Drosophila melanogaster: one gene and its partners. The protein of the gene in region 2 interacts with the protein of the main gene of each other region in a pairwise test. Each region holds a gene or a part of one and is shown on either strand. Other genes may lie near its edges. The genes, in order: CG14153, CG1394, CG42659 and opa.

The links.
Region 1: the proteins of CG1394 (region 2) and CG14153 interact in a two-hybrid assay, tested with the Drosophila melanogaster proteins (one large-scale study listed by BioGRID).
Region 3: the proteins of CG1394 (region 2) and CG42659 interact in a two-hybrid assay, tested with the Drosophila melanogaster proteins (one large-scale study listed by BioGRID).
Region 4: the proteins of CG1394 (region 2) and opa interact in a two-hybrid assay, tested with the Drosophila melanogaster proteins (one large-scale study listed by BioGRID).

What each region holds. Positions count from the first base shown.
Region 1 is NT_037436.4:10,640,213-10,647,662, forward strand, and holds CG14153 (uncharacterized protein), read left to right. Parts: upstream 1-3,315; 5' UTR 3,316-3,330; coding exon 3,331-3,378; intron 3,379-3,444; coding exon 3,445-4,110; 3' UTR 4,111-4,403; downstream 4,404-7,450. Other genes in the region: CG32066 (uncharacterized protein), read right to left, coding at 989-1,253, 1,320-1,582, 6,651-6,914; CG14154 (uncharacterized protein), read left to right, coding at 1,814-2,389, 2,492-2,665.
Region 2 is NC_004354.4:11,166,660-11,173,924, reverse strand, and holds CG1394 (uncharacterized protein), read left to right. Parts: upstream 1-3,246; 5' UTR 3,247-3,415; coding exon 3,416-3,919; 3' UTR 3,920-4,114; downstream 4,115-7,265. Other genes in the region: Antdh (antennal dehydrogenase), read left to right, coding at 4,896-5,471, 5,551-5,727.
Region 3 is NT_033779.5:18,002,115-18,009,132, reverse strand, and holds CG42659 (uncharacterized protein), read right to left. Parts: upstream 1,774-7,018; 5' UTR 1,640-1,773; intron 1,586-1,639; 5' UTR 1,566-1,585; coding exon 1,416-1,565; 3' UTR 1,291-1,415; downstream 1-1,290. Other genes in the region: CG42635 (uncharacterized protein), read right to left, coding at 307-705; CG42634 (uncharacterized protein), read right to left, coding at 795-1,139; CG5693 (uncharacterized protein), read right to left, coding at 2,132-2,350.
Region 4 is NT_033777.3:4,848,715-4,857,576, forward strand, and holds the start of opa (odd paired), read left to right. Parts: upstream 1-4,098; 5' UTR 4,099-4,391; coding exon 4,392-5,340; intron 5,341-8,862. UniProt on the Drosophila melanogaster protein: Transcription factor essential for parasegmental subdivision of the embryo. It is involved in the activation of wingless (wg) in odd parasegments.

The DNA of each region.
Region 1 (7,450 bases), on a different chromosome or scaffold from region 2:
ACTAAAATTCAATAAATTTTAGAACGTTACAAGATTTAAAAACATGCACCAAAAACAAACATTAATGTGGTTGATTTTGCGTGATATTTATTTTGATTCAGCATTCTCTATAGTTTTTTCTTCTCATTCTTCTTGCTTTTATCGCATATATAAATCTTTATTTAGTTTGTGTGAATTTTCATTATTCTTTCATTTTTTTTTTTGGTACAAATTGTATGCGTTAAGTTTTGCCATTTTATTAATCCTTTATTTCTATTTGTAAATCTTAAAAATTATTATTATTGCGCAGCTCAAGTTTATTCTGTTGTAGATTTGTTTAAATACGTTTATCAAAGTTGACGGCGTGAAAATATATAAATGCATCCGCTTTTTAGCTTGTGGTTCAGTTGTGTGTAGGCATTTTAGGTCGTACAATTCGTTTGTTATAGTAATCAATTAGTTTATGCATTCTTTAGATCTTTACACCACGTTCTAAACACATTGTCATGTACAAAAAAATACTTTAGATTTGATTTAAAAATGTTTTTTTTTTTTTGTTTTATATTTATAATCTCTGCATTAGTGGAATTTAGGATTTATCTCATACATCTCGTATACCCAAACATCAGTTTAAACTTTGCGCTAATTTGTTTTTAGGTTAATTGGGTTCCTTGCATTACTTAAAATTAGGGCTAGATTAACAACTAAATATTGTTGCTGCTGATATATGCGTCCCACTTTTTGTCCGACTTCTTTGCTACGTTACGCGGAGGCTGGAGTCTAAAACAGTACGAAACAAATGCTGGAAATGCACACAGGGTAAAAATAAAACTAGAGGTTGCCTCCTGCTAGCACAACACTCGCTCACAATTTTTTACAAATAATACAGAAGCCTACTAATTACATAAATAAAGGTAAAAAACCATTTAAATCGATACGCATACACATAGAAATTAACGTTAATGAACTCTCCGCCCACACCGGCCGCGCCCACCGATCCCCTCCAATATTATGCGGCCAACAAACGCTGTATATTCTTCGGCGTGTTCTCCCCATTCAAATGCTTCGTCGTGTATCGCAGGGCATTCAGCAGCGGCTCCGCCTTGATGGCCGGTTGCGCCTGCAGCAGTCGGACGCACCCCTTCACATCCACATGGGCGCCACGCACGAAGGCTCCCTCCGGATGCACATGGTCGTAGAGGATCACCAGGCCGACCATTACGCGCAGCACCAGCATTTTCGTGTCCTCACGCTCGATCTGTTGCAGGAGTTTTCTAAAAGCAATATTGTCCATCGATTAGAATACTTATTATCATTGATAGTGATTCATTTAAACTCACGGATTTTCCAGCATCCTCAGGCACACCTTGGCCATGGTGCCCAGCGTTTCCGTCGTGTTCTGGACATCATCGGCATTGTCATTGACAAACTTTGAGGTCGCCTCGCTCAGCACCTTGAGCATGGGCGTGGCGTGGGCGTAGAACAGGGACATCCGGTTGGCCAGTTCCGTGCTGACCAGCATATTCTCCGTGGAATCCACACGCTGTCGGCTGACGATGCGTCTGTAGTAGCTAAAATCATTCTGTATGGCGGGGGTTTTCATCTGAAAAATAGAAATATACAATACAACTTAATAAGTTTATCACTTTGAACATGATTTTAGGTATGCAATATGCCTAGCAATGAAATATTATCTGGCATCATTTCGAAACATCCGTCAAAATGAGCAAGCAAAACAGTACGGGATTTAGGAACATATTCAAAAATATTTACAAACGAGACATGAAAGGGTAAATTGAAAATTATTTAGTTAGTTTTCTAATCAACTTTTGGGATGTTGATTCGCACCGCTCGCAGAAACAGACAGAAGACCTTCGTCGTGGAGGATTCCGAATCGCAGAAGCCCGAAAAGAATCCGAGTCCCGAGCGCAAGGAGGATCGCAAGGAGCGCAGGAGGGAGGAGGAAATGGAACGCAAGCGGGAACTGGAGCGGCGAAAGGAACTCGCGAGGGAAAAGGAACGAGAGAAAAAGCAGCATCAGCAGGAGTGGCGCAAGGAACTGGAGAAGGAACGTCAGCGTGAAAAGGAATTGCAGCGTGAACATCTGAGGAAGGAGCCATCCACTTCCTCCAAAAGGGTAAATCCAGAAATCACCAAATTCGACGAGGAATTCGAGCAGGATATTCAGAAGTTGGAGCAAAGCATTTGCCAGCTGGACTTTCGCTCCAAAACGATGGCCACCATGTGGATGGACAAGCTGCGCCAACCACCACAAAATGCAGACGAGGCCAGATCTAGGAACATAATAACATCCCATCTGCTCAAGTGCTGTGGCGATAACATATTCAATAAGGAGCCATTCAATCATCCTCCGCCACCACAAAATTTGACAACCATAAGGGAGATGATGGTGCGTTTAAAGCAAGTCGTTCTTGAAATATTAAGCTATAGTCATATTTAGACAATTTTTTCTTTTCACTGAAATCTAATTATTTTGTATTCTTTTTTCTAGTTCTTAACGCGCGATAGTACGTGCCACGGAATGCCCATTTCCAAGCAGATGGAACCCAACGCCAATCTAACCCAATTATTTAGCGATTCATACGATGGTGGCGAGTTCCTGAGAAAGCTTCCAGTGCCACGTGATGGGGCATTCTTTATCTATTACATGCAACCAAATTTGTAGAAGTGAATTGGATTTTAAAGTAACGCCAGCTAAATTTCAAACATAAGTCTTCAATTTGTATTTTTTATACAAAATGTTAGTAAGAAAACGTTGATACCCTTTACTATAATAAAGCAAGCTCGAATTGTTTCTAATTTTGAAGTTCAGTCATATTTTTAGATAAGATACATATGTAGGGAAACGGACTTGTAAGTTTTTCTTCTAGCAAGCAGCTTTATCAACAAGATCATAAGGTATGCAACTATCGGTTGCTTTCAACACTCGCTCTTGTTAACCTCTAATTACAGTTGACTTGAAAATCTAATTACTAATTACGCGGTACGTGACACCGCAATTTGCCTGCCGCCCGTGTTGCCAATGCTTCCAAATGGTTTTCCACTACGGGCCAGGCCCAAAACAACGATGCCGCACTTAAGCTGTCAGGGCTGCAAAAAAACGTGCGTGAGAAAAAATACAAACATTACAGAAATGCCGCCTGCTAAATTTTTGAGTCAGGTAAAGTGGGGTTTGCTCATCCAATCACCTTGACAGAGGCGCTGCTGCAAACGAACATCATGCACTACTATACATTACTATACTATATATACTATATGGCTTTCCAGAGAGACTGTTGTGAAACCTCATATAAATACGTTATTAGCATAAATCGTTCTGAACAGTCAGAAATGAAGCCGCAAACAGGACGGATCGTGAAGAGCAGCTCGTCGAGCTGGGTGAGTGTTTCACTAGATTTCCATTCGGACACCCGAGATGATTAATCTATTAATGATTATTCCAAGCTATGTGCACTTATGCCCCTGATGATCGATGCAGTTTGTGGGAGAGCTCAGTATGCATCACCTTATGGCAGTGCTTATGCAATTACCACATCCAACTACGCTCAATCCAACTATGCCAATCCAGATGTACAATCGATATGGTCGGGTCCGCCTATCATAGTGAATGATAATCAGTACAGTGCCCAGGAACAGCAGCAGTATCCAAAAAGTAATGGTTATTATGTTGCGGAACCTGCGTATAGACAAGCATATCCAAATTGGAGAAGGGAAGACCCAACACATGCTCCCAATCACAACTATAACAATGTGCCCGGCTACTTTTACTATCAACAACAGGAGACTACGCCATCAACACCTCTGCGCTATCCTCAATCTCAAATTCCACCTCAACTTCAGCCATATCCACAAAGGAATCCGGAATTGGAGACCAGCGATTCGGGTCGCGATGAGGAGCAAGTGGTCCAAATTGGCGGCAGTCGCTCATTGGCCACAAATAACTATCTAAATACGTACAATAATAAGGAGAATTTCTATGAACCCGCTCAGCCCTGGAGGCGTCGTGATTACCAGGCCAAATATGCCCAACATTTTGCCGAATATTTGCGTAAATATCCAAGACGCCTGCAGCCAGTTTACAACACCAACGAGGATTTTGTTGAAAAGTAGGGGAATACTCTGCATTTGACTTTGCATCAAAAAACATATTGAATAAATCCCCTCAAGAGCCATTAGCAATTTTCGTTGAAAGCGTGCCAAGAAAACTATTTCTGTCTGTACTCGGAACAGATCAATTGCATCCGATAAAGATACAGATTGCAGCTGCTGTAGAGTCAACATGCCAACACAGTAAATATTGGTTTATCCCTTTAAAAGGCAAGAATAATAATAATTGTATGTAACAAAACTATGCTTAGTTAGTTCCGTAAGAGATACACAACAATAAAAGTTATTTTCAGAAGATTTTAATTAATTTAAAAAACTTCACTAAAAGGGAAATACCCATTTTTTGAAGCATGTTCTTTGTATTCTGTGGCATGCGTTGAACTTTGAATATCAGTGGTTAACTTACATAAAGGAGCACTAAAGCCAAGTTTATTGTACTCTATACAAGTGCCTTCTCGATGCCCCAAGATTTTTCGCAATAAACGCGACATTAAAACGAAGCAAGTTACAAGCAAAGTCAATAAATTGTACAGCATACTTTGGGGCGCACTGAAAACTGGTGGCAACAAAGGCGCAGAAACAATGCTCCTCCTCTTCGAGAAACGGAAGTGGCAGTTAGTTGGGAAGCACGTTTGGGCTATATAGTATGTACATACATACATATATATATATCGGTGTATACATATATGCAACTTTTTACACGGGAAAATCTGTGAGCGCCCGGCGGCTGACACTTTGAGCACACAATGAACGTGCAGTTTGCAGCGTTTAACATCATCATCATCATCATCGCCATTATCATTACCATTATCGTCGGGAGCACAAAGTTGCAGACACACTAGACATCAGAGACTAGAAACCGACGATGGCGATGACTTCGCCATTCCCTACCTCCACCATTATTTACCCGATTGTCCTAGATCCCAGCTTTCAGCTATACATATAGTGCTCCACAATCGATTTGAATGAAAGTTTCGCCAAACGGAAGCGAACCATGGGAAATGCGCCATTCACAGGGATTTGCCATTAAACAAATCGATTTTATTTGACTCCAGACAATCAACCGGCATATCCTCCAACTGCCGCAGAAACTGATGTGGCTCTGTGTAATGTGTTTTAACCCAGTGCGGGGATACGTTTGTGTTTGCATAGTTCACAGGCCTTTGTTATGGCCAAACACTTCAGGTTAGCCAACATAATTGAGTGTTTGAATTTCATTAAAAACCTATTGATTTTGTGGGCATTTTTTAAAGAGTTTATGCTAGGAAAATAGTGTGGTTATTGTGCGTTAGTTGCAATGAGTAATATATAATCAAACAAGAACGGAAAAGGTAATTTAAAATAAAATTAGGAAAATGAAAAAATACTGAACAACGTTCCTTTTATAATAATCACAAAAAAAAAAAACGCTGTATAGTTTTTACACACGCACTTAATAAACATTTGTTAGCTCTCATAAATAACCTCTTGTTTACTTTTTGAATTGTACCCTTGTAAATCTTTCTCAATCTAATTTTTCCGTCTTGTACATACATTTTTATAATTTTCTTATATAAGTGAGATATTCTACTTTAATGACCCGCACTGTCAGGCCACCGAAGCCGACATAATACACTTTACATCTTCATCCGGCCATCGGTCGTTTGTCGTGGGCCATTTGGCTTGCGTGCGCGTAAGTGCCAGCGATGCTCCACTGTGGCCCCCCAACGAATGTGCACGAGTGGCCCGAAAGATTTTTCATCAATGGGCCGCAGCACGCGCTCGTCTTGGCCATTCAGCCAACCAGTCAGTCAGCCAATCAGTCAGTCAGCCATTCAGTCAGTTAGCCAAGCAAAAACAGGCAGTAGTCGGTGGGCAAAAAAAAAGTCAGTCAATTAAAAATGCAACCACGCGCACCATGAGTTGGCAGTGGAACTCGGTTTGGCTTCATTTGACTCGGCTTTTAGATACATATTGCTTTGCTTTGGCTCGACTGTCGACAGCGCCCACATAAGGTAAACAAACAGTGAAGAAGACTGAATTTAACCCACTAACATTTTTGCAAACAGACGGAGATTAAATTGAATTAAGCCTTCATAAGACGTTGTCAACATTTGCATCTCTTTGCTGTTTGTGGCATCTGCAAAGTTACAGGAATTACCAGTTCGTTTGCAGTGATTACTAGTCTCTCGTTTAGATTTATTAAGATTTATGTAAAAATCCATTTAAGTTTTTATGCCATTTTTAGTGCTTTGTTATTGAAAATTTAAGTATTATTGACATAAAATGTATCTGCAAAGGTTTTTGTTTCACTGTAAAATGTTTACTTATAATTAAAGAGCCCTCTCAATCACTTTGTTTTATTAATTTAATAACCCACCCATTTCCCACTAATGTTGCCCTGTCAAACACAAGCAATGTCTTGTTGTCAGTGCCTGGTTTTCCCACCTCCAGCCATTAATGGGTTAACGTCGTGGGCGTCGTTACATCCAAATATGGACTACAGAGCTTGTAACACCCAGCTGTCAAAGTGAGCAAACTTAAACTAAACTCAACTCACTCACCTTGTACTCATCGAACTTCAGCACGAACTCCAAGATCTCGGCCAGCTGCTTGACCAGCGCCTGCTGCGTCTCCAGATGCTGTGTCGGATTCAGTTTTCCGCCCACCAGCTGGCCCAGCAGCTTGGGCACAATCTTGTCCAGCTCCATGGAATGCTCGTAGCAGCGCTTCAGCTTGTTCACCAACGGCAGCACCGCCGCCCAGGCTTTGGCGGTCACCTCCGGCGATGGATCGGCGATGGCTTCTCGGATTTCCTTGCCGGCACCCTGTAAATATTCGCAGGAACGAAGGCGGAAAAGCGTAAGTCAATACATTTGGCTCTAAGAAGGATTAAATGCTAGCTTGGCATGCGAACCTTAGACTTGGAACATTTTTACACTCGAAACCTTTTGCAATTTAAAAAAAAAATGTTAATTGTATCTATAGATACAGACTACAGATACAGATAGACTTTCCTATATATAGTTATAGTTTAACCTCTGATAGATAAACTAGGTCTTACGTATGTAATACACTAATCTAAAATATCCATAATTTTTTCTTACAGTGCACTCTTTTAGGGGTTCTAGTTTTTACGGTACCCTGGAGAAAAACTACGCCTGCTGACCACATTTCATGCATTTGTTTTATAACAATCAGCAAACTGCGTGCCAAGCCATTGTGGCCGGCGAGTTTTCATCGAGAAAAACTCTGCGTCTTTATTTCTGTGGCACATGCAACAATAACGATGTGGCAAGCCGCGTCCATTGACCGGCAGCGCAGCGATTTTTATCGATGCTTTATGATCTACAAAAAAATAATA
Region 2 (7,265 bases):
CAACGCCGATGGAGTGAATACTCTGGGGAAGGAAATCGGAGTATTATGTTTGCATATCAGGAAAATAACTATTCAATCAATAAAGCAGATTCATATAGTTTTAATATACAAAAGGTAAATTTAAAATTCCACTTAAAAACACCTTGGAATAGTATTAGAAACAAATCCAAAGATTGAGATTACTTTTCAATTCTTTTAAATACAAATAAAATATAAAACATAAGGCATTCAATATTTTAGCATTGATCGAAAACTTCTTGAAAACAGCGCATATCCTGCAGGGAAATTCAGGATCGTGAGCGGAAAATGGGAAAGTGCGCCGGGTGAAGGCGGGATGAGACAAATCGGTTTAGCCTAACTGCACTGACAGCCAAACACAAACACACTCGCAGCGGCGCACAATTGAATTTATGTAAGCCAGAGTTCTACAAGCGAAACACAAAAAAAAAGGAAATCGGCGAGGAGAGAGGAAAGAGTTGGGTGTGGGGGGGGAGGGGGTGGCGAAAAGCAGGAAAAGCCACGTGGAAGGGCGGGCGAAAATTGCGATGAAAGGGCGGGAAAAATGGCGGGCACACGGAAAAAAGTTCAACCGTTCGGAATCGGTGCCTGGGCATTTGTGTTATCGGTAATTATTTTGCCACTTTTTCAAGTGCTCTCACCACTTTCACCCGCCCGCCCGCCACTTGCCCTGCAACTATCCCCATCTCGCTCCCGCCATTTGCCATTTGCCATCCCGCTCCCACCCACCAAAGTCGCCACTCGAAGTAGAGTTGAACTAAGCTTATTTACCCATTTTTGCTAATGGCATGGGAGGAAACCCATGGCGAACAGACAGAGGCGGAGAAAGAAATAGGTAGATGTGAATGGAAAGAGAGAGAAAAAGTGGTCCACCGGCTGTAGTAATGCGATAAAACTACACTGTGCTACAGTGGTGAAGATTTACTAAGAGGAAGTCATATAAATCTATGGGTTAAGTTCCATAATTTATGAAGCTTGCTATAAATTCAATACTGCTTTGCATACATAGTCTCAAAGACCGAATTAACTTAGTAATTAATCTGTAAGTCAATTTTTTTCCTTACTATATTTACTTTGTCATTTTGGCTCACTGTGCTGGTCCTTTGTCCTTTGCCAGCTACTTGAATGTTTGCTGTTCCCAGCCAAAACAGAATGCAACTGCTAACATATTTGACCCAAGTCGAAGTCCCCCACCCCCCTCGAGACGCTTCGCCTCCTTGAAGTCCGACTGTGGTATGCGTTTGTTTGCAAACTTGATGAACTATGCTATGCACTGGCCTCTTTGTCTTCCCGCTTTACCCGCTGCCCTTTTCTAGTTACCAGCTCGCCAACCCAGCTGCCCTGGCCCATCAGTCTCCCATCCGGCATAGTTGGCATCACATAATTTGGAATGACCCAAGGTCAGGCGTTGAAATATGAACTCAGTTGATCACTTACAGCGCTTAAGACACGAAAAACCAGAGGAATTCCAGCATAATTTATATTGAGACAAATTTCTTTGCACAAGAAGTGCACAGTGTGTAGTCATAAATAATAGTATCGGTTTAAATAACTTCAATTTTATTGCAATTTAACTACTATATAGTTAAAGTAAGAACCTTGAATATTAAAATGTGCTGGATTTTTCTTTCAGTGCACCAAAGCTATGTGCTGTAATTTTAATTTTCCCACCCAGCATTTCGGTTAATCTTCGCTGTGTTTGTATATTTTTTTCTTTTTTTTGCGCACTTGTGTCGCACTTATGTATCATCATTTGTTTGGCTCTGATTTAATACTAGCAATGACACAATGTTGACGCCGGCCGAGGACAGGCAATTTAACTACGTTGTCGCCACTGCAGCGCGTCAAGGACGTGGGCATGACAGTCGGATGGTCACCCGGCCTTACAGTCATCCAACCATCCAACCATCCAAGCATCCAGCTATCCTGCCATCCGGCCAACGCCTCATCATCGCCCCTCAGTCGTCATTCCGTGTCCCATTAGGCGTGGGCCTTTGTCTTTGCTATCATTATCAACACCCTGCCATGTTGCGTTCTTTTATTTTTCTCTCAGCTTACTGCTTATTCTTCATATTCGCAGGCACAGTTAAAAATAAAATGCGGCCAACGTTGCGTATACGCAATATCAGCATTGAATATTAAGCATACGCAATGTTGAAACATTTAATTCCTTATTGTCAACTAGAACTATAAAGTAATAATTTATACTGTACATTTGTTATATATGTATATATTTTTAGTATGAATTTTCTTTCACTGCATCTGGTTGGTTTATGAGACATTTTGTTGTTGCTTATTTTGCTTTCGCCTTCGTTTTCACTCAGTTCAAGTGTTTTGCATTTTATGCTTGGCACAAGAATCAAGTGGAATGTGAATGGCCAAGAGGGTGAGAACCTTAAAAATACCGTATTTAAATGCCAATCATGTGTGAATCAAAACGTGTTAGATGGGCTATAAGATCAAGTTGAAAGTTAAACACGAAATAGCATATAATTGCTTATATTTGCCAAAATGTTCAATTACTTTAATCGAATTTAATGCAGTTTTATAATTGTTTTATAGTTAGCAAAGTAATTAGATGCACAATGTTTTATTTCTATTTTATGGTACCAAGTCTTTAATACCCATTTAATACCCAGTGTGTAAATAAACGTTTGTTGCCGCGTCTTCGTCATTATCATCTGTGCTGCATCACGACAGTTGGCGTCCTTTTTCAAAAATTAAACACAACGCTGGCCATGCCACGCCCCTCGGTCGCCCACCGCCCCCATTTTCCGACAAGGCTAAACCAAAAAAAAAAAATCATAGAAATAGGAATCAAGACTCAAGAGCAAAAAGATGAAATGAAAATAAAAAGAAATGTCATTTATCACAATATAAAATTGTATGCTAAATAACACGGAATGACCTGAATTAGAAGCACAAAAACCTTTATGAACAATCTTATGTCAGGTTAATAAATCAAATATTTTACGATGATGTACATATATACTATGGTAACTTATAATTTGCTATTCAAAATATTTAGAAAATATATTTACTCTTAGGCATTTTATGGAAGAGCTAAACCTAAAATATGTGCCAAGGTAAAACAATCAATTTAATATCGTATGTATTTTCATGGCCAACTGCAATCGGTCGAAAAAAAATTTCCAAAAATTTCCAATCAACATATCCATGAAATTAAATGTCAAGCCGAAAAATCGAGGTACCCCAGCCGGAGCTCCAGATTATCAGTTATATTTTAGATCCCAAACAGTAAACACCGTTCAGCGGAGCAAAATTTTGTACAACTTTTATTTGGTCAAAAAAAAAAAAATCGAAAGAAAAACTGTTTCTTTTTCACCACTTTCCCAAATTATTTGTATTTAGGATTTACTCAACCGCAACTCACAATATGTCGAATTCGTTTTCGTACTGGAATGGCCAGCCGTTGAATGCTCCCGTTTATCCGCAGATGGGTGACTTCATGCAGCACTCTGCCGCTGGAGCAGCCGCTCCACCACCACTATCAGCAACAGCAGCAGCACCAGGATTAGGATCAGCCGGCGGACTAGGAGGTTGGCCTAGCCAGGGCGCAGCTCAGGCACACTCCATGCTACCATACGCCGGAGGAGCCGGTGGCATGCCGGCTGCCATGCCGGGTGCCATGCCGGGCGTCATGCCGGGTGCCATGTCGGGTGCCATGCCGGGTGCCATGCCGGGTGCCATGTCGTGTGGCATGCCCATTACAGGAGCCCAGCATATAGTGCCGCCACCCGTGGACCGTTCAATATATGGAGACATACCCGGACGAAATGAACCGTGCATCGACAATGGCGAAGCCTTCTGCGCCTACAACGGCATGGACATGAGCATGAACTACGGCGGAGGCAGTGCATCCAAGGGTGGCTTCTGGTAGGATCGATGCCACGAACAATGACAGCACGAGCATCTTCACCGAACGACTAAAGTGAATCGCATATGGGCCATATACATACACAATTAGTTTTCGAACCAAACGTCCGTTTTGTGCAGCTCAAACGACTCGTACTTGGCGAAAATGTATAAAATAAATGTCATAAATCCATAAGATATGAAAATAATCAGTTGGCACAAATCGGTGGGTGGGTTAATTGCATTAATAAATACAGAGATGAGTTAACGTGCGGCAAATTGAATGTGAGAAGAGCGTTGTAAACTCAAATCGCATATATTTTATATGCTAATTACTAAATAGGCAAAATGTGATGTATGGCAAAGGTTACTATTGTTATTTTCACTCGGCAGTCAAATATTGAAGTTTTATTTTTTATACAAATAATTAAAGCACAAATCAAGCTTACATTGTAAATATTTCGATTTTTCTATTTAGTTTAAACAAATCAAATTTAAATAACTAGGTGCAAACCATTTATAAGATTAATAGACCCAATTTTCCACCGTATGATTATCTTGAGCACTTCGTATAAATATATGTTCTTGAGATTCGCATTGTAAAGTACAAAAAACAATACAAGTTTCATCGTTTCTAACTATGCAAATACAACGCCTGCCGCCCCTTTTGTCGTATCACAGGGCGTGGCTGATTGTCACAGTGATGAGATGGCAATTTCTCAACACGCTAACGAGATGCACTTACAAAAAAATGGGTATGCCCATTGGGAAATTATTCTTAAAAAAAGATTCGATGATTTATACTAAAATTACATGAATTTAGCATAATCGTAATGTTACCAAGTCATTATATATTTATTCTATTGTTTGGCTCGAACTTTTCTCTCAGTGTACTAGGCTAGAACTCGTTTGGAGAGCGCACGCAACCATCGCAGCGATATATAAAGTGGATCTTCTGGCCGAGATTCGAGTAATCATCGTTGAAATCGCAATCGAAAATCATGGAACGCTGGCAGAATCGCGTGGCCGTCGTCACTGGCGCCAGTTCGGGCATCGGATCGGCCATAGCCAAGGATCTGGTCCTAGCCGGAATGACGGTGGTGGGTCTGGCCCGACGTGTCGATCGCGTCAAGGAGCTGCAGAGGGAGCTGCCGGCGGAGAAGCGCGGCAAACTTTTTGCCCTCTACTGCGACGTGGGCAACGAGAGTTCCGTAAACGAGGCCTTCGATTGGATCATCCAAAAGTTGGGCGCCATCGATGTGCTGGTCAACAATGCCGGCACCCTGCAACCCGGCTATCTGGTGGACATGAATCCGGCCGTAATGCAGCAGGTATTGCAGACGAACATCATGGGCATCGTGCTGTGCACCCAGCGAGCGGTGCGTTCCATGCGGGAGCGCAAGTTCGACGGCCATGTGGTGCTCATCAATAGCATCCTGGGGCACAAGACCATGACGGCCACGGAGGGCGTGGCGCCCGATGTGAACGTCTATCCGCCCAGCAAGCATGCAGTTACAGCGCTGGCCGAAGGATATCGCCAGGAGTTCTTCGGCCTGGGCACCCGCATCAAGATTACGGTTGGTTCGCTTTCCATTTTCCACTTTCTTCGGATTGAACATTTTTCTAACCCCTTTTTGGCTTTTTCCGCCAACGTAGAGCGTCAGTCCGGGCGTGGTGGACACGGAGATCGTGCCGGACAGCATTAGGGAGGCCATCAAGGATCGAATGCTCCACTCCGAGGACATCGCACAGGGAGTGCTGTACGCCATCGCCACACCGCCACATGTCCAGGTGCACGAGCTGATCATCAAGCCACTTGGCGAGACCATGTAGGCGGAGGAGCTTCAGGAGCTCTGTTCTTTTTTTTTTTTGTATTTTTCCTCTTCATCTTAATATTTTTGCCGTGACAGAAAATATGAAGCACCATATTCACACAATTTTCGTAGACAGTTTAATATTCACAGTTAAGCTATACACGTTGCAATAAAACTATTTAAATTTAAATTTAGTAAGTCGGTTTAATTTACTTAAATTTGAAATTGAAATTCCCTGTCTTGAGCAGTAACAACACATGCAATGAATGCGATAAATAAATGGGAATGCATTTCCATGGGTAAACGGAAAATTGAAAATCCAGCCGTAAGTGAAAAAGTATGGTAAACATATATACGTATGTATTTACTATATAGGAAATGCGAGCAATGGCAAATGACTTTCCGCATAATGGGGCTGGCTGGCAACTAATTGCCAATGGCCCTAATGGCTTTAATTGACAATTTTTGTTGTTTTTTCTTTTTTTTTTTTTAGCTGGCCAAAAAAGAGCACAATTGAAATTTGACACAGAAAAGGCGAGCAATAAATGGGAAAATAAGGCAAGCAAGCCATCCTGCACAAATGGAATTCTCTGTGGTCAAAGAGTGTCATGTGCAATTGGGCATCTTCGAGCAATAGCTTCATTCGAGGAGGAAACCGAGTCATTAGAGCGTTCCGCTTCTTCCAGCTTCCTGTGCACTGGGAAAAAATACTAATCGCTCTGCGAATTTTGTTCGAAGAAAAACCAAACTGCTATGAAAAGTGCCTGCCTGAAACTTGGCACAGCAAAATCGAATATTAACAGGAAATGCCCAATGATTATTTAGACTATTTATGTTACAGTGTATTTCTTGCTGCCGGCCACACACTTGATTTTATTTGCGCTTTTTCCGAGTTGGTGTCCGTCCGGAAACTCAATTTGTCAGACAAATGCGATGGAGCTAGCTGCAGCAGGAGAGCATAAAACAGGACCCCAGTCGCTTCAAGGACAATGGAGCATCCTTGGCCAAGTCTATTAAAGCCAAGTAAACACTGCTCTCAATGAATTGCAGCTGCAAATTCCAATTGACTTCGATCAAAAGATGACCGCACTAAATAATTAAATGAAACAATTTCCTCGGCCTTTTCGCTGGCAGAAAATGTCATTGGGAAACCTAAAAGGAATGTGTTTCGAATTGCTGAAGTTAGAAAATGTAGCATTATTAATTGCAGTTGTTTTTTAACGTTAATAGGTAATAATAAAATGAGAAAAAATTCCTTAAATATGCGTAATTCATTTAAATAAATATTTAAATAATACTGGCATTTCTATTTGGGTAAAAATCAAATATTCCTAGCCATGCAAATGGCATGCAAATAATTTATTGGCTTCCTCATGGACTTGCCCTCCCCCTCCCCCTCGCCCACGATTATTCAGCCATTTGTTTTTCTTGCGAAACTTGAGATTGATAAATTTTCATCCTCCGCGCATTTATTTGTTATTTGTTTGCCTCGTTCGTCTTTTGGCCGCTCTTTTATCAAACTTGTTTTGATGGCCTCGACAGCTGTCAAAAGTTTTA
Region 3 (7,018 bases), on a different chromosome or scaffold from region 2:
CTTTTTTATTCAATTTTAACGAACTAGAACGTACCTGGGATTTTTTTTCCTGCTGAAGAAATACGTTGAAGTTAATCCTTGGCTACGAATTTAGAATTTTTGTTCAATTTTTCATATTGTTTTTTTTTGTGTTTTATTTTACGAAAGAGATGTGTTCAGTCCAAGCTGTTCAAAATGAATGAGCTCTCTAGGTTTCGAATCCCACAAAGCCCACAAGATGAGTGAAGTTTATTTCCAAGGCCAACTAGAGAAAACTAAAAATTTCCTTTTTTTTGCTTTCTATTCGACATAGTTGCTGACTAGATCCTACTCCTCTTCGGTTAATTCTGCCGCTGGCGGTGTTTCAGGTTTTACTACTACCGGTTCCGAGTCCTTTTTATCCTTTTCGTCTTCCTTGGAGGAGCCCTCGGAATTATGTTCACTGCCAAACTTAGGAAGCAATGGTCCTACAAAGGCACATGCCTTGCCTCCAATACTTTGTACCACGGAGCAGGCGCCATCCATGCGATCGCCCTCTACTAGAGGAGTTTCGCCCTCGACGGCGGACAGCTGATCCGCCACTGGACCACCGCGCCTCACAAGGTCAGCGATCGGATCACGGGTTTGGTTTAACACCCTGCCACCCACTTCAGTTAACGAACGGGAAACTACCATAAACAGGGCCACTATGCCCGCAACTCCGATGGCCGTGTGAACCATTTCCATATCTTGGGCAAAGGAGCAGGATCTTCTGGAGGATCAGGAGGGTCGATGTCGGATTTTTCGATCGACCACGATGACAAATAATTCTAGGGCTACTCTCCAGCCATCGCCGAGATGGTATTATAGGTCGAACGGGCCAAGTTTCGGATACTTCGCGAAATTTCATTTATCAGGTAGTTAATGTCATCCGAACTGACCACCTGCTCCTGGTCGACATGGTGCTCCGGCGTTGAATCGTTTACAATCAAGACTATTTTACGAACGGGCTGAATCATGCCGGATACATCGATCACGGGCTCCGACACATGGTGATCAACCAGAAATGCCTGATGCATGATGATCACCAATTGGCGGATTACTGGCACCACGCGATCGAGGACGTTGATTGCCATTGGGGCCAGTACGTGGTGTACCACGTGATCCACAGACGAGGACATGACCAAGAGACTTGAATTTTGAATTTAGAAAACTATTTTCACACAATTTGCGACCTGATAAACTAAAATTCCCAGGAGTTCTAATTTGAAATCTAAGCCATTTCGATTGGAATATTTATATTATTTCCCCAGCAATATTCAACAGTTTGGTGACGATGAATCAATTTTATTATTTCTCTACATAGATGTGTGCGAGGCTAATTGGTGTGCAGTTTCAAAGTTCAACTATATTTGTTCCCGCCGTTATTCTTGCATTTTATACAGGTACTCGTCTCGTCAATAGCTGCTATAGCAACGACTGTGCCAGCCACCGGGGGTGTATCCTTTGTAAATGTCGAAGTTGCACGGACATACTGCGCATCTCGGATAGGGGCCAATGTAGAAAGGGTTTATGGCCGGAGTCCAAGGACGACTTAAGTAAACCATTTTCAGCACTCGAAAGAAGTCTGCAAATCTTATTTTATAAATACATCTCCCACATTTTCTCTTTCGAAACTCACCGGAAATGGAAGAGAAAAATGAGAAATTTAAACAAATGTTTGACCAGAACAACACGTTTCGTGCTTGAAATTTGAATGAAGAAAATGCGTATGTACGCTTATGTGTTATTTTGTTGACATTTAAATCAAGAATGCTGGTTTAAATTTATTTGACTTCATTTTAGATAGATCATAAGAAAATGAATTAATTTTATCTGTATTTTTTATCCACAGTTATTTTGTGCTAAAATAGAAAAGAGCTGGTAATTTGAGGTTAATATATATTATTATTGTTTTTATTATTTATAGATATTCATTTTATTTATTTATTATTATTATTAATTTTTTTGAAATATAATGTTACAATATGACGGTTCGATGCCCAGGAGATGATGAGCTAAATGGGTTTAGCTCAAGATGTTTGAAGATATTAGCAACACACAACAAGGTTGTGTGTTCAGCACATCTCCAAAGGACTCCTGGTTCATTTTTGCAGCTTTGCCTTTTTCCCCACTACTTCTGTTCCCGGAGCTTCGGTTCTTTTTGGGCTTTCTGGTCCAGTGGTTGCTTCGCCGCGTCCTTGTTGGATTGTGGGGCGGGATTGCATCGGGGTAGTTGGGACTCCGGGCAAACTCCGCACTCCGGAACCGTGCAGTGGCCCTCCTCCAAGCAATCGGGGTCACAGCAGGGCGGATCGGGTCCAATGTAGCCCGGATTAAATATGCAAGGCATGCTGCAGCACCTCCACTGAAAACGAAGGTCGAGGCAGATGGCAGTGGCAAATTGGGTCCCACTTTATAGATTTTGTGAATTTACATAGATGCTAACTGGGTGCAATTTTCGGGCCGAGTGAGGCTCATAAATGTTCTCATTTCCATGGGTATTGAAACACAATGGAACGGGTAACTAGATGCCCGAGTTGCGCAAATCTCTAAACAAAGCTAGTTAATTTCGTACTAGAATCGATGCGAATAGCTCCCACATTGAACTCTATCTCCCAAAATCCGAATCAAAGTCCAATCGCCCTTAAAATCACCGGTTAGTGCGTGCAGAACGCTTATAATTATTTCATAATCGGGCAACACTTCAGTTTTATGGTGACAAAAGCCAGCGGAAAGATAACTGCAACTGCAGGCCATCGAAACTGGGCCACAAATGGCTGCAGGCACAAATATGGAATTTAAGTTGAAATTAATGAATAATTAAGCTGCTTTGGGCAGACGCTCGCAGCGGAAGTACAGCATTTGCATAGCTAACACAATGAACTACATACGGCCGGACAAGACTTGGCCGTTCATAAATTAGATATGCAAATGTAAATGCGAATGGAAAACTAACGGCAATTCCTTTGTCAATTAATCAATCAATCAACGCAGCCGCTCGCTGCGATCCAGAAAGCGATGCGGAAATCACTTGTCCCACATATGTACCTCTGCCCCCGCCCAGAAACTCCATCCATCGCCATTTCCCCCTGGCCACTGCATCTAGCTGCATCTGGCTGCATCTCCATTCATCTACATCACGCATGCCAATTTGCCTCAGCACGGTTTTTGATTGCCCGCTAAGTTCGGAGCGTTGTGAGCCCCCATCGATGCTTATCCCCCGGTTTTAAGGCGATGGCAGAGTCATTAGCATCAAAGGGCCATGGTGATATGACCAGCGCTCCTGGCAGCTCATCTGCACTGTGGTCTTTGCAGTGACCCAAAGAGTTTGAACCGAAGTGCTTTGACTTGGGTTAATTTGTGGGCTTTCAGCTTGGAAAGTATAAAAGTTTCACATGCATTGTTCAAGCACACAAAATACCGACAAAAAGACCGAAAAGGGTTTATTTTAATTAAATTGGATGTGATAAATCGAAAATAGTGATGTTTATGATTGAGGTAGATAGCATAATTTTAGTCAACACTTTAAGCTTATCATTATCATTAAAATATAAATAATTTTTCGGATTCGACCCACTGTGCAGCGTTGTCGGCTTTCAATGTCGCCGGCTGCAGCCATCAAAGTCGTGTGCACTATTTGTGTAATTTATATTCAAAGCGTAACGCGGTGCGTCGACTGCGTGTGTAGGTGGGTGGGGAAATGGGCGGTAAGTGGGTGTTGGGGCGGAGTGCTAGGGGGACGGTTCACTTGGTGGTTTTGGGACCGGTCACTCCGAGCAAACGGACTCTAGTGCCACTGAACTAAGTGCAGTCACGCGAACTGCTTTTAAGTGGCATAAGCAGAAGAACCCAATTCCTGCATAACCAATGAAGTTAAATATATTAGCTTACTCATTTTATTGCTCAGTTCTATAGACTAATAGTTTGAAACTAATGTGCAAAATCAATTAATTATTAAGAGATTCGAATGAGAAGCTCCTGTAACAACACATAACTCTCAGTGTAACCCTTAGATAGAACCCATCCACACTGCGACATTGTCTATCCGACTTCCGTTTGTCGGACGTAGTTCTATTACTTCTTGGATTCCGTTTCTGTTTTTAATAACTCAAGTTCGAACCCAAGTAGGCACACTTGTGCCGTCGTTACTGTTTGAGAAATGTATTGGAGGCCTGACAAAGTGACCGGAAGATGATACTGCAATAAAAAATGAGCACCCACGCAGCGACATGGAACACCATAGAGTGTTTGGCTTGGAAATAGAAAACCAAGTGCTGGAAATGAACATGAACCATGTTTTATATGCTCTGTGAGTTGTTGGATTTTCACTACTCGTAGTTTTTCTTCTTTTTCGTTAGCCATTTATTTACAAATGAACAATATTTATGGCCTCTTTTTGAAAGAGTTGCGCGGTCTGTGTGTATATATTTTGGGTTCCTATGCGATGGGGCCAGACTTCCGTCACAGCCAAAACATGGAAACGATCTGTTCATACTGAACATACATAGTTGTGTCTATTATTTTGTGGTTTTATTTCGGTTTTATGCGCGGAGCGTACCAAACATCGATTATGAATTACAAACTCTAAACGGATGGCAATCAGAAATGGTTTTGCTGAATAAATAATTCTAATTTGCCAGCAATTATGGGCTGTCAAATACGATTGTCCACTGATATGTTTTCGATGGTCGCGGAAAGTGTGAACTGAAGAACAATTAATAAATTTATAGTTTTGTGGTTACCGGAATGAAGTTTAAATGAATAACATTTTGGGTTCGGTTGACGGATTTGTCTAAGCTCATTACAATTGAGTTTTGCTTATGCTATCCAAAAAATGAGGTTTCAAACTTTATTGTATACTCTTAAAAACAGACTGGCTTGGGCATGAATTCTTATATGTTAATCCGGCAAAATATCCATGGATACGAAATCTAGATCTTCGAAAGCCAACTGGATTTATGGCTGTATAAGTAGCTAAAATTATTCCCAGCCTCTTATTACATCTAGCAAGTTGCAATTAGTGTTGTCACGGGAAGAATTTATGAGGAGCAATTGCAGAGGCTAAAACAGGAACCCTAAACGACGGCACTTAAGCGATCATAACTTTGCCCATGATAAATCGAACTGGAATAGCCTGCAGAAATTCCAGATTCTGGCCATGCAAAGCAATTGGACAAGTGGACAAAGGCGGTTACAAAGGCGAGGAAGTGGCCCAAAGAACCTCGAGCAGCTGCTGCCGCTGAAAGGCGAGACCGCTGAATGAATTGGGCTGTCGTTGTCTTGGCAATCAGCGCTACCGGGCATAGAAAGTTAACACACCCGAAACCGGCTTCGGTTTCAGTCGATGCAGCCAGTTGAATTTGCCAGTTGATGCACTGCAAAAATCTGCTCTCTTCTATACATAACTGGATATAGAACATCTATACATAAAAATCCATTTAATACAAAGCTAGATCAGTTTTAAGGCGTATTTAATAAATTTAAAAATTAATTAAATTTATAGAACAATTCTTTACTAGTCTATCTCTAGTTTTCTCAGTGCTCCAAAGTTGCTGCTTGCCAGTCACAAGTGGCAGGTTGCCAGTTGTCGCTGCCGCAAGAAACTTGCCTCCATACTGCGGCGGATGTGAGTTCCTGGGGTAGCAAGAGGAGCAACTGGTGGAGAGGGGCTTCTAAGCGTTTAGCTTGGCTTTTGCCTCGGTTCGCTGGCCCCGCGGAGCGCATCCAACTTCGAATTGCCGCAATTGCGTGTCGACCACAATCTTAACCAGCTGAAGAAGCGACTGAAGGAGGCGAAAAACTTTGAGCCAACAAGGATACACTGGAAAAGAATTATTCAAAGTTACATATTTCGAGAGATGTTAGAAAAAAGAATATTGTCATTGGGAAAAACCAAAATTATTCTATTTACTTTCTTTATAATATTAAAAATGTTGCTTCATAAAAGTTTGCTCTTTAGAATTACCTTTAATTTAAAAGAAATGTGGGCTTTCAGTGTCAACTTGAGACTTTAAGGGAAACGGGGTGTTCGGTCAGGTTCCGTCCCCACTTGAAGCTGTTTTCTATATTCTCCTGCCTGCCGCTGTCTGTTTCCTTTTTGCTTTTAATGAATAAGTTGGAACACCTGTTCGTCGTTCGTCTCCTGTCGAGATCTCCGTCCGTCCGAGTGTCTTGGAGCTCTGGTTCTGCTGCTCAAGTGTGACGGCGCTTGTGTGTTCTATCTCTGGATCGGACTTGGTCATTGTTAATACCCCTTGACCCAGGGTGCATTCGGCTGACAAGTAAACTGAGCAAATTTGTGCTAAAGTTAAATTTTGGAAAGATAGAATGAAAAGAAAAATATTCTAAAATAACTAAATAATAATTTTTAATAATAAAGCAGCACAAATTGCAGTCAAAACGCCATAATGTCAGACTAATTCTAGATCATTTTTCTTGTGAGTCGTAAGAATCGTAACATTTTTATTCCCGCGGAACTGGCTTGTCTGCATTTGATGCTTTAATTATCCAGTTGTTTGCCGAGAAAAGCAAATAGAGTCAGCCAAAGCTGAAGCTGAAACCAAAGACTCAAGACTTAAGTCAATAAATAACCTGTTTGAATATCATTACGCATAAATCTGAGCCAATGCATGGCCCCTGTAATCTTCATTCATTAAATCGGGCTCACCTGAAATCGAGAGCCGAGACATTGACACCCGAGGAAAAGGATGTAATGGGAGGGGGGGGGGGGGGGGTGGTGAATGGGAGTCAATGCCACGACAAGTGCCGGCCACGTCAAGTGGCAAAATTAAAACCAATTTCCCAGGGACTCTGCCGTATCACTTGCTCATCAGGAAAAAATAAGAGAACGAAGAAGTGAAGAGTCCTCCACACACGAGTGCTGCTGCTGCAATGACGTTGGAAGGGAAACAATGCGAAAGGCGGCCCAAGAGCACAACGAGATAATTGTAATGAAGAAATTCGCAGCATAATTGATGGAGGAGGGGCTCCGCAATTCACAGTAGCCCGGGAAGTTCAG
Region 4 (8,862 bases), on a different chromosome or scaffold from region 2:
TATAAAAACAAACTCTTTCACAACAAGATTGTCGTATTCCTCCCACTAAACGAAAACAGCGATTAGCCTCGCCTCCCTCAATTTCCAGGACATGTCGGGCAAAACAATGATGCTCACCCCGAAAAACTCCTTCCCGAAATGTGCCAATCCTTTTCCTTTTTTAACAACAAAGTCAGGACATGAGCCCTAATGAAAACTAAACCATTTAACCAGAAGTGGTCACCGTAATTGGCTCAAAAGAGTTAAGGCTTGGGAAACTGTAACGCCTACCTAAATCGAAATTCCATAGAGATAGATAGAGATACCAATGCGGATTTCAAGCTGAACCAAGCCCGTACCCTGGCCAGGTAGGACGAGGTGCTTGTGTAGTACCAACGCCCACCATAACAACTTGACTCGGGCAACGGCATAATTTATGCCGGCGAAAAGTGGCCGATGGCCGAGAAAACCTCGGACAAACAGGGACAATAGCAGTCACAATTCAAATGAAAATCCATCCCGGGATGGCTAACAGCTCGTAAATCACAGATTCCGGGCCGGAAAGTTGACTGACTGCTTGACTTGACTTACCTGCGAATGCAAACTGCGAGCAGCAACTGATCATAAATTTTGTTCAAGGTCTCCTGGTTTCCGATCGCCTTTGTTTTTTGCTCTTCAATGGAAAACGCATTGCGGAAAAAGGATGTGAGCCAGTATGGCCAGGATTGCCAGGACGGCCCTCACCTTGGTGTTTATGGCATGTAAATATTTATGGTTGACATGACCTTGTCAGTCCGTGTCCTACGGTCAGCACTTCTCTCGTCACGCACTTTTTTATGATTCGTCCGAAGCAAAATTGCCGTGTCCGCTCTCCGGCAAAATATTTATGGGCATATAATTTTCCACGATTTTCATTTTCCCTCTATCTGGAGAATCTCGAAGCGATGTGTGGGCTAGATGTGCTGCCTTGTTCCGGTGTCTTCATGGCATGGTCGTAAAAAAATTGACTTTCCTAAGCTGTCTCGATTCCCTAATCCTTGTACTACCTCCTAGGCATCGCCAGTTTATCACGCCCCGGGATTAAGCATTCTGATTCAGATGTCCTCGCCTTTTTCGAGATTCGCGAATTGCCTTTTAGGATTTGGCCAGGGCCTTCTTACCTGTCTGCTTTATTGGTTGTGCAACGGGAAGTGGGTGGTTAAGGTTTCGGGTGGAGCGAGCTCACCACGTGCTGAAATGAAAAGGAGGCCCATGTAGATCGTTCATAGTTTTGGAAACTCTTTCCAAATATTAACCTCGCATTCAATGGCGTACTCTTTCAATTTGATATTATTGTGGTGTGTAATGGTAACAGGCATTTCTTGCAATTTACTATTGAACTTTGTGGCAACGTCTTTATGCTTTCATTGCACAAAAGAGTGCTAGATTTATTTTCTACGCAATTAACAAGAGTATATACTTCATACAGTACCAAACAATTCATGTGCTCGCTTAAATATTTATCTGAACATTTTCCATCTTTACTTCCATTTGTTGAAGCACATTAATCGGCATAGAAGCAATGAAAGGAAATCGCGAGGAAACCAGTTGGACAGGAAACTCCCACGCTCCCACATCACTCCGTTGACACCCCTCCCTGCCTTTTCGCACCATGGCCATTCACTCTGTGGGCTCGGCACGGAACTCTCCATCCCGCACTGGAACTGGAATCTTGAGTCTCGGCTCTGGAATCCCGGGTCTCATGCGAACCCCTGGCAAAAGACCAGTACAGTGCTCACCGCTGTGATCGCGGCATGTGCCAAAGGCGTCCACGCCAGGTTACGGTTTTATTTTGATTTCGGCTCTGACTCTGATGAGTCCGTGCCCATGCCACGCGGCCATGTCCCCAGGTTGTCCCCGACGCCCACCGGTTGGTTGCCCACTTGGTTGTGGCCAAACTGATTAAGCACAGCTGAGGGTTCAGTCCGCTGCTTTTAGGGGTGAAATCGACACCAAAATATGAATACGTCTACTAACACGACGGATTGCAAATAATCAGGGCTTAAAAGAACTCGACTATAAAACATATGGTTGGCTATGATGGAGGAAGATAATTAAAAAATCGCAAAAGCTACAAGATTTTTGATGTTACTTGGATCTTCAGAGCTTCTATTGAACTTGGAATGATTGACTGGGTCGTTAAATTCGTTTTCTGCATTGGAAAGTGGATATTCGGTCTAGTCCAAAATGGACCTCTTGAATCACAGACAACAACAGAAGCTGCAACCTGCTGGGCCAACTTGCATTTTGTTTATCTGGGCATTTTAAATTTATAATTTCTTGTTTGCTAGCGCCTGAGATTGTTTCCCCCGCTCCTTTTTTGTTATTAAGAGTTTATTGCATTTTGCGCTTCCATTTTCAAGTGGCTCGTACGGCATTATTTATGGGAGTAGTTCTATGGCAGTGCGCTAGAAATCCACTTCAGCCGACTGCTCCGTTTGCAGCCCATCATCTGCTCCAACCCGGCGGCTTCGTCCTCATCCTCCATCATCGATATGGAGCAATGGCTTCATTTCGAGTGACACTTGTCGCTGGAGCTCTGCGGGACTGGGTGCCTGCCAGCTCGGTGCACTTTCCGCTGCTTTATGGTCTTGCCCGTCTCCCAAAATGGCATTGGGGTCGGTATGACATTCGGACGACTATGGACTGTCGATTGCCGTCCGCTGATTGCTGATTGCCGCTGAGTTGTTTTGACAATTTAATAGCCGAACCGCTTGGCGGTGACGCTTTATGTCACAATTTGCCCCAATTAATTCATTGCGGAAATCAAGGTAATTAGCATGGAATCACATGGTCTTTTCTTGCTCTCATTCTCATTTAAACTTTACCAGGAAATATTGTTTTCTCAAACGATAAATTCAGGGCAATATATTTGATTAGAAAATACTGTTTTTGAATAAAAATTTGATTACTCAATATATATCCAAATTCAATTTGATTTTAATTATTATCGTTTTAAAAGCTTAAGCAATTTTTAATACTCTGCCAGCAATTACATATCAACCTTAAATTATCTACAGATGAGGACTAGTTCAAAACACGAATACTAAACGAAGACAATTTTGATGTTAACGACCTTCCTTTTGCATCGCTCAGTTTTTGGATTGTAAATAGAAAAAATCATATATTTTGAGAAGAGCGTCTGACTATATACATACAGCATAGTGTTATACCATATTATCACAAAGCAAATGTTTTGTATGAAAATAAATTTATACATTTTTGCCCTATGCAGGCGAAGTATCACTTCACAGTCTGCCCCAAAAGCCACTTTGCCGGGGCACTTAACACTCAGCAGAATCCAATCAAGTCGATTGATACAAGATTATGTATTGATTCGACTACTGCTTATTGAAAATTCCATAAATTAGCAAATGAAAAACAGAGCGTTTGGCGCTAATGAAATCTCGTACGTCTTTATGGCGCAACCTAAACAAAACGGCTGGAAATCTCCGATGTCCGAGCACGGAATGTGCTTAATATCATTAAAATCAATAAAATAAACAACTAATTTGATAAGCTGACAGCTGGGCTACCCGAAGTGGCGGGCTATTCGTCCGCCGTGACAATGAGGAGCGGGCTGGAAAATGCATCCCCGCGAGCTTTCAATTGGCTGCCCGTCGGTCCAATCAGCATTTGGGCCCCCTGCACAGGCGCACGCCGCACGCTGTCGGCCCACCACCCAATGGCCAACCGCAGTGGGTGTTAATTTTCGCGAAACCAGTTTGCCGAGCGAGAGGGCGCTATGGTCGGGTGGGTTCCAATTGGACTGAGTGCGCAGCCTCTGTGCTCTTCTGTCCGACTCTGGAGCATGCGAGGAGGCGGCCATTTTCTTAGAGTTGTCGCACTCGCACCCATGGCTCAGGCCTATCCGACAGAGTGGTGGCTTGTGCCGAATACACCATGGCAAGCGCAACTCACCACAGGCAGGTCATACGCCTGGCCTGCTCGCACTCGCGCTTTCGTTACCCTCTATTCATTTTACGTCGTGCATAGGTCGATCCCATTCGCACGCATGCGATCGTCGGCAGATATTTTCACGAGGCAACACAGCAGCGAGTTAGAATTTCAGGAGCATTTCAGTCCTGCTGCGCATCTTGAAACGTCAAGTCTTGGCATTCGGTTAGCGTCAAGTCTTGCTGCGATTCGAACGCCCCAGAAACGCATCGCGCGCGAGTGCATTACGTAAATAAGTATCAAGTCGCATGCGAAATATCTAAGAGCGAAATAAGCGCACAGTATATACAGCTAAGTGAGGTGACCTCAGTGCGTGATGGGCTCATTGGCCTAGCAAAGTGCGAATCGAAAACTTGTAGTTCAGTTCTTTCTGAATTAATTTTAAAAACATATAAGCGAGCAATAACACTGTAACCATGATGATGAACGCCTTCATTGAGCCGGCTCAGCACCACCTGGCCAGCTACGGGCTGCGAATGTCGCCCAACACCACCGCCAGTAACAGCAACGCGCAGCAGCAACAGCAGCAGCAACTGGAGATGACCCAACAGCAGCAGCAACAACAGCAACAACAGCAGCAGCAACAGCAACAGGATCAGGAATCCGCGGCGGCCACTGCTGCAGCCTATCAGAACTCCGGATATGGGCACTTTAACAGCTATGCCTCCCGGGACTTTTTGCTGGGCAGGAGGGAGGCCGAGTACGGTGTGGCAGGATCCGCCGGACAGGCCTCCGCCGCAGCGGATTCCATGCTCTTCTCCGGCTTTCCCGCTCAGGCCGCGGAGCTGGGCTCCGGGTTCGGACAACACCCCTTCCACAGCCACCATCACCACCATCAGATGCGAATGGGCATGGCGGATGCCTACGCCGCCGGCCACCCGTACAACCACCACGGCAACTTCCCGACGGCGGCAGTGCACCACCCGGTCGTGCACCACCCGTCCCACCACGCCATGTCCGCGATGCACCCGGCCGGAGCAGGGGCCTTCCTGCGCTACATGCGCCATCAGCCGGCCTCGTCCGCCTCCAGCGTTAAGCAGGAGATGCAGTGCCTCTGGATAGACCCCGACCAGCCGGGCCTGGTGCCCCCGGGCGGCAGGAAGACCTGCAACAAGGTATTCCACTCGATGCACGAGATCGTCACCCACCTGACCGTGGAGCACGTGGGCGGACCCGAGTGCACCACCCACGCCTGCTTCTGGGTGGGCTGCTCTCGCAACGGACGCCCTTTCAAGGCCAAGTACAAGCTGGTCAACCACATCCGCGTCCACACCGGCGAGAAACCTTTCGCCTGCCCGCACCCGGGTTGCGGCAAGGTCTTCGCCCGGAGCGAGAACCTCAAGATCCACAAGCGGACGCATACAGGTAAGTGTGGCGGTGCATTCCGCTTTATATTTAAACCATATTAAACCATTCATTAAACTAAGAAAATACTTTTATTTAGTTTTGGTTTGGCAGTCAAATTCTGTGTGTAATTATTCCTGTTTTATAAAGATCTTAATACTAATAGAAAGTCGAAGCCTTATGCAGATTTTAACCGCTTATATTTAGAATAGCACATGCTAGGTCTGCAATCTCTTAGAATTCACCTTGCGTGGGCATAACCCTTGCCCGCCTGGGCAAATCCCGGACGTTGTCGATGTGAGCGTGTTACCGACGGCAAAAGTCGTTGCAACGCCCACTACCTGGCTTAACCCGCCACTGGCCGGGCGGGTCATCTTTTATGACACCTGTAAAACCTGCGCCCAAAGCTCTTCCGCGCCCAGAAAATCCCGCAAAGATGTTGTCCTTACGGCTAGGATTACTCTACGGCTTTAGGTTGACTTCGACTTTTGGTCTTAGTATTTCCCTAAGCCTGCGACTTCTCTTGACTTTGGATTTTGACTGGCATGTATTTAACTACGTTTGGAAACTTGGTCAAATTTGTAAAGGAACTGAAAAATTTAGTTTAGCTACTCCTTTGTTTTTTATACTTTAAGCCTTGTTGTCGGCTTCAGATTTTGTATTATTTAATAATAATGGCTTACTATTACTTTGATAGCCAACCGCTCTATGCAAATTCTCAATATAATTAATTTTTCTTAAATCCATCATTAATCATGCCCATTTCAAGCATTTCTCTTTCAATTGTCTTTCAAAAATAAATTAAAATCGCTTTGCAGCTCATAGCCTGAACACTTTTGAAAAAACATAGCCATAGTTGGAGGCTTTAAAATACAATTTATGCGGTATAGTCGTGATCTATGAGAAGTCGAACTATAAAGCCAGAAACGGAGCTTAACGCAAATTAATGACTTTGATTCCAGTGGCTGTTGAACTTGTTCCATTGAAATTTATGGCTGAGCATGTAGGGCTCATTAGAAGCGGCGAAACACAGCCATTAAAATCAATTAACAAGTGGAAGTTGGGAAAGCAAACATGAAATGCGAAAACACAAAACAAAGTTTCGCATAATTGGTGAAAAGAGCGCCAATCAGGTTAATAAACTTTCCAGCAAATATCGCTTGGTCCTGGATTATCCTTGATTGACCTCAGCCTTGGCGTAATTAACTTGGAAATTGGAGGAGAAGAATGAAAATATGGCCAGCAATATTCCGCAATATCCAGCATGCTTATATTTTGTTGTTTTAATGTTGGCTTTTGGCATTTGTTGTTGCCTCTTTATTTCTATTATTTTGTAATTTGGCCTCATGATTCCAAATTGAATTAAAATAAGACGTCGGGCTTCATTATAGCTTCATCTTGTAGTTACCGCGATTATAAACTCACAAAGAAATTCATAAATCACAGAATTAGCCACACAAAAAAGCTATTTCTGTAAATCTGTTCGGACAACAGTATTTTCTTTTGCACACTCATCGAAAGGTAATTAAAATGTTTCGATTTGATTTCGAGACGCCGCCATATTGTGTTCGATTTTGGAACAATCATGTGGCATTATAATGAGTTGGTTGCTGTATGATGATATTTTTGACTAATTTCATATTTCTTTTCTCCGCCGTGATGCAGCAGAAAAGTGCATTTTAGGACCTCTGACTGATTTGTGTGTGCCTATGATTGGTTGACCTGGCTACACATTGTCGGAGATAGCCAACATATTGATTAGCTTTCAAGTGGCCGGCGCACAACTTCATTACGGATCGGGATCGAGCTGGGATCGGTCTGGTATCTGGCTGGGATCGGGGCCTTTAACCTTTCCATACGACTCGGGCACTTGAAGTAGCATCCTCCACACCGCATAAATCAAAAATTCAATCAGCATCGCTGGCTCGGCTAAATGTCCCTTGGCACTGGTGTTTGTTTTTATTGCATTGACACCGCCGACCCAGGGCAAATAAACACACTCGAACACACTGTGTTGACACGTGTCAAAACTTCCGTTTGAAATGGCTCGGAAATGCTTCCGAGGCACTCCGTGCTGGCCCTCTCAAAAAAGCCATCGAAACCGAAATTGGGGTAACACTCGCCGGATTACTGGACGCATTCGCACATTCGCATTCCACTCCTCTAGCTTTATTTTATTTGCGCTGCGATTGTTTCTGTGCTGTTCTGTTTGGGTTACTCGCCATGCTACATTAAGCTTTTGATTTAGATTATGCAAAGGTTATTTACGACCTGGCTTCCACTCCTCGCCGATGGGACGGGTGAGGGGTCCGAGTTTGATAAGTGGGTGAGTAAAACGGAGCAGGGCAGTCAAGTACGTGTTTATGGATCCAGCCGATATAGATCTGCCCAAATGGTGCCACTGTAGCAGCTCGAACTGATCGAAGGGGTCAGTACACCGCGGCAGGAGTTGACTTTAAGATTCGAGTGTGGAACGAGAGTAGGAGATTATAGTTGTGAAATAACTCTCAGTCAAATCCAGTTTTTCGCTATTGCCTCATAAATTGTGTGTTTCTCTCGGCTTAATAATTATGTTTACTTTCTTACATATATCTCTATTATTTAAAACAAAGATTGCATTGCTTCGATTTACCAATAGTTACGATGATCTAAAACAAATTCGATTCAACTGATATATGAGTAATAGTGGGAAGAGTCCTTTCAGAATATAGATCCCAAACTCACACAAACCACCACATGCATATGTCTCTTTTTGTTTCTTTCCCACCGTTCCGTCCGGTCACTGCGTTGTGTTAACTTTTGCACTTGTCCCCGTCACCGTCTGAAATTTTGGCTAGCCTCCTGTCCATCCTGTCCATCCTGTATTCCCCCCCCCCCCCCAGCACCAGACTCCGCCCCTTAAACTCGGCACAAAAAACCCGGCAAACAATCAAGGTTTGTCTGCTCTGTGGCCGTTGTTTTTTGTTGTTTGGGGCTCTGTTGACCGGCCCGAGAGTCTGTGTGTCTGGATAGATGGCGTTTATCACGCTGTGCGGTTTGCACACACATAGCCATCTTTTACACGATTCTTTCCTCTCCACTCCACTCCACTACATTCCGCTCCGCTCCGCCCGGCGGACCACAAACAACTTTATTCATTAACACCTACAACGGCCACAGGATCCGACTGCCACAAGAGCATTCAACAACTTTGTGGTTAGATTTTATTCGTAGCGCCCCATCCGCTCCTTCCAAGCTCATTAAGCTGCTGCGAACCAGCTCCCAGCTGCCCCCTTCAACCTCCCACCACCCAAAGCCCACCACCTCTGGTTTTCCCCGCTATTCCTCGCTTTTCAAGTGCAACCTCTCACTTTCCGCTTCCCCAGGCGCCTTGTTGTTGTGCAATTATGCTGCGGGGCAAAGTTTAGCATTTAACATTGTCCTGGCAGCTGCGACCCTTGTTTGATTAGCTCCCCCTTTTGCCAGGATGCCCCTTTCGGCCCCAACTCGGCTCCATTTAATTGAGTGCAAGTGTTTTTTTAATGAGTCTTTTATGGACTTGTT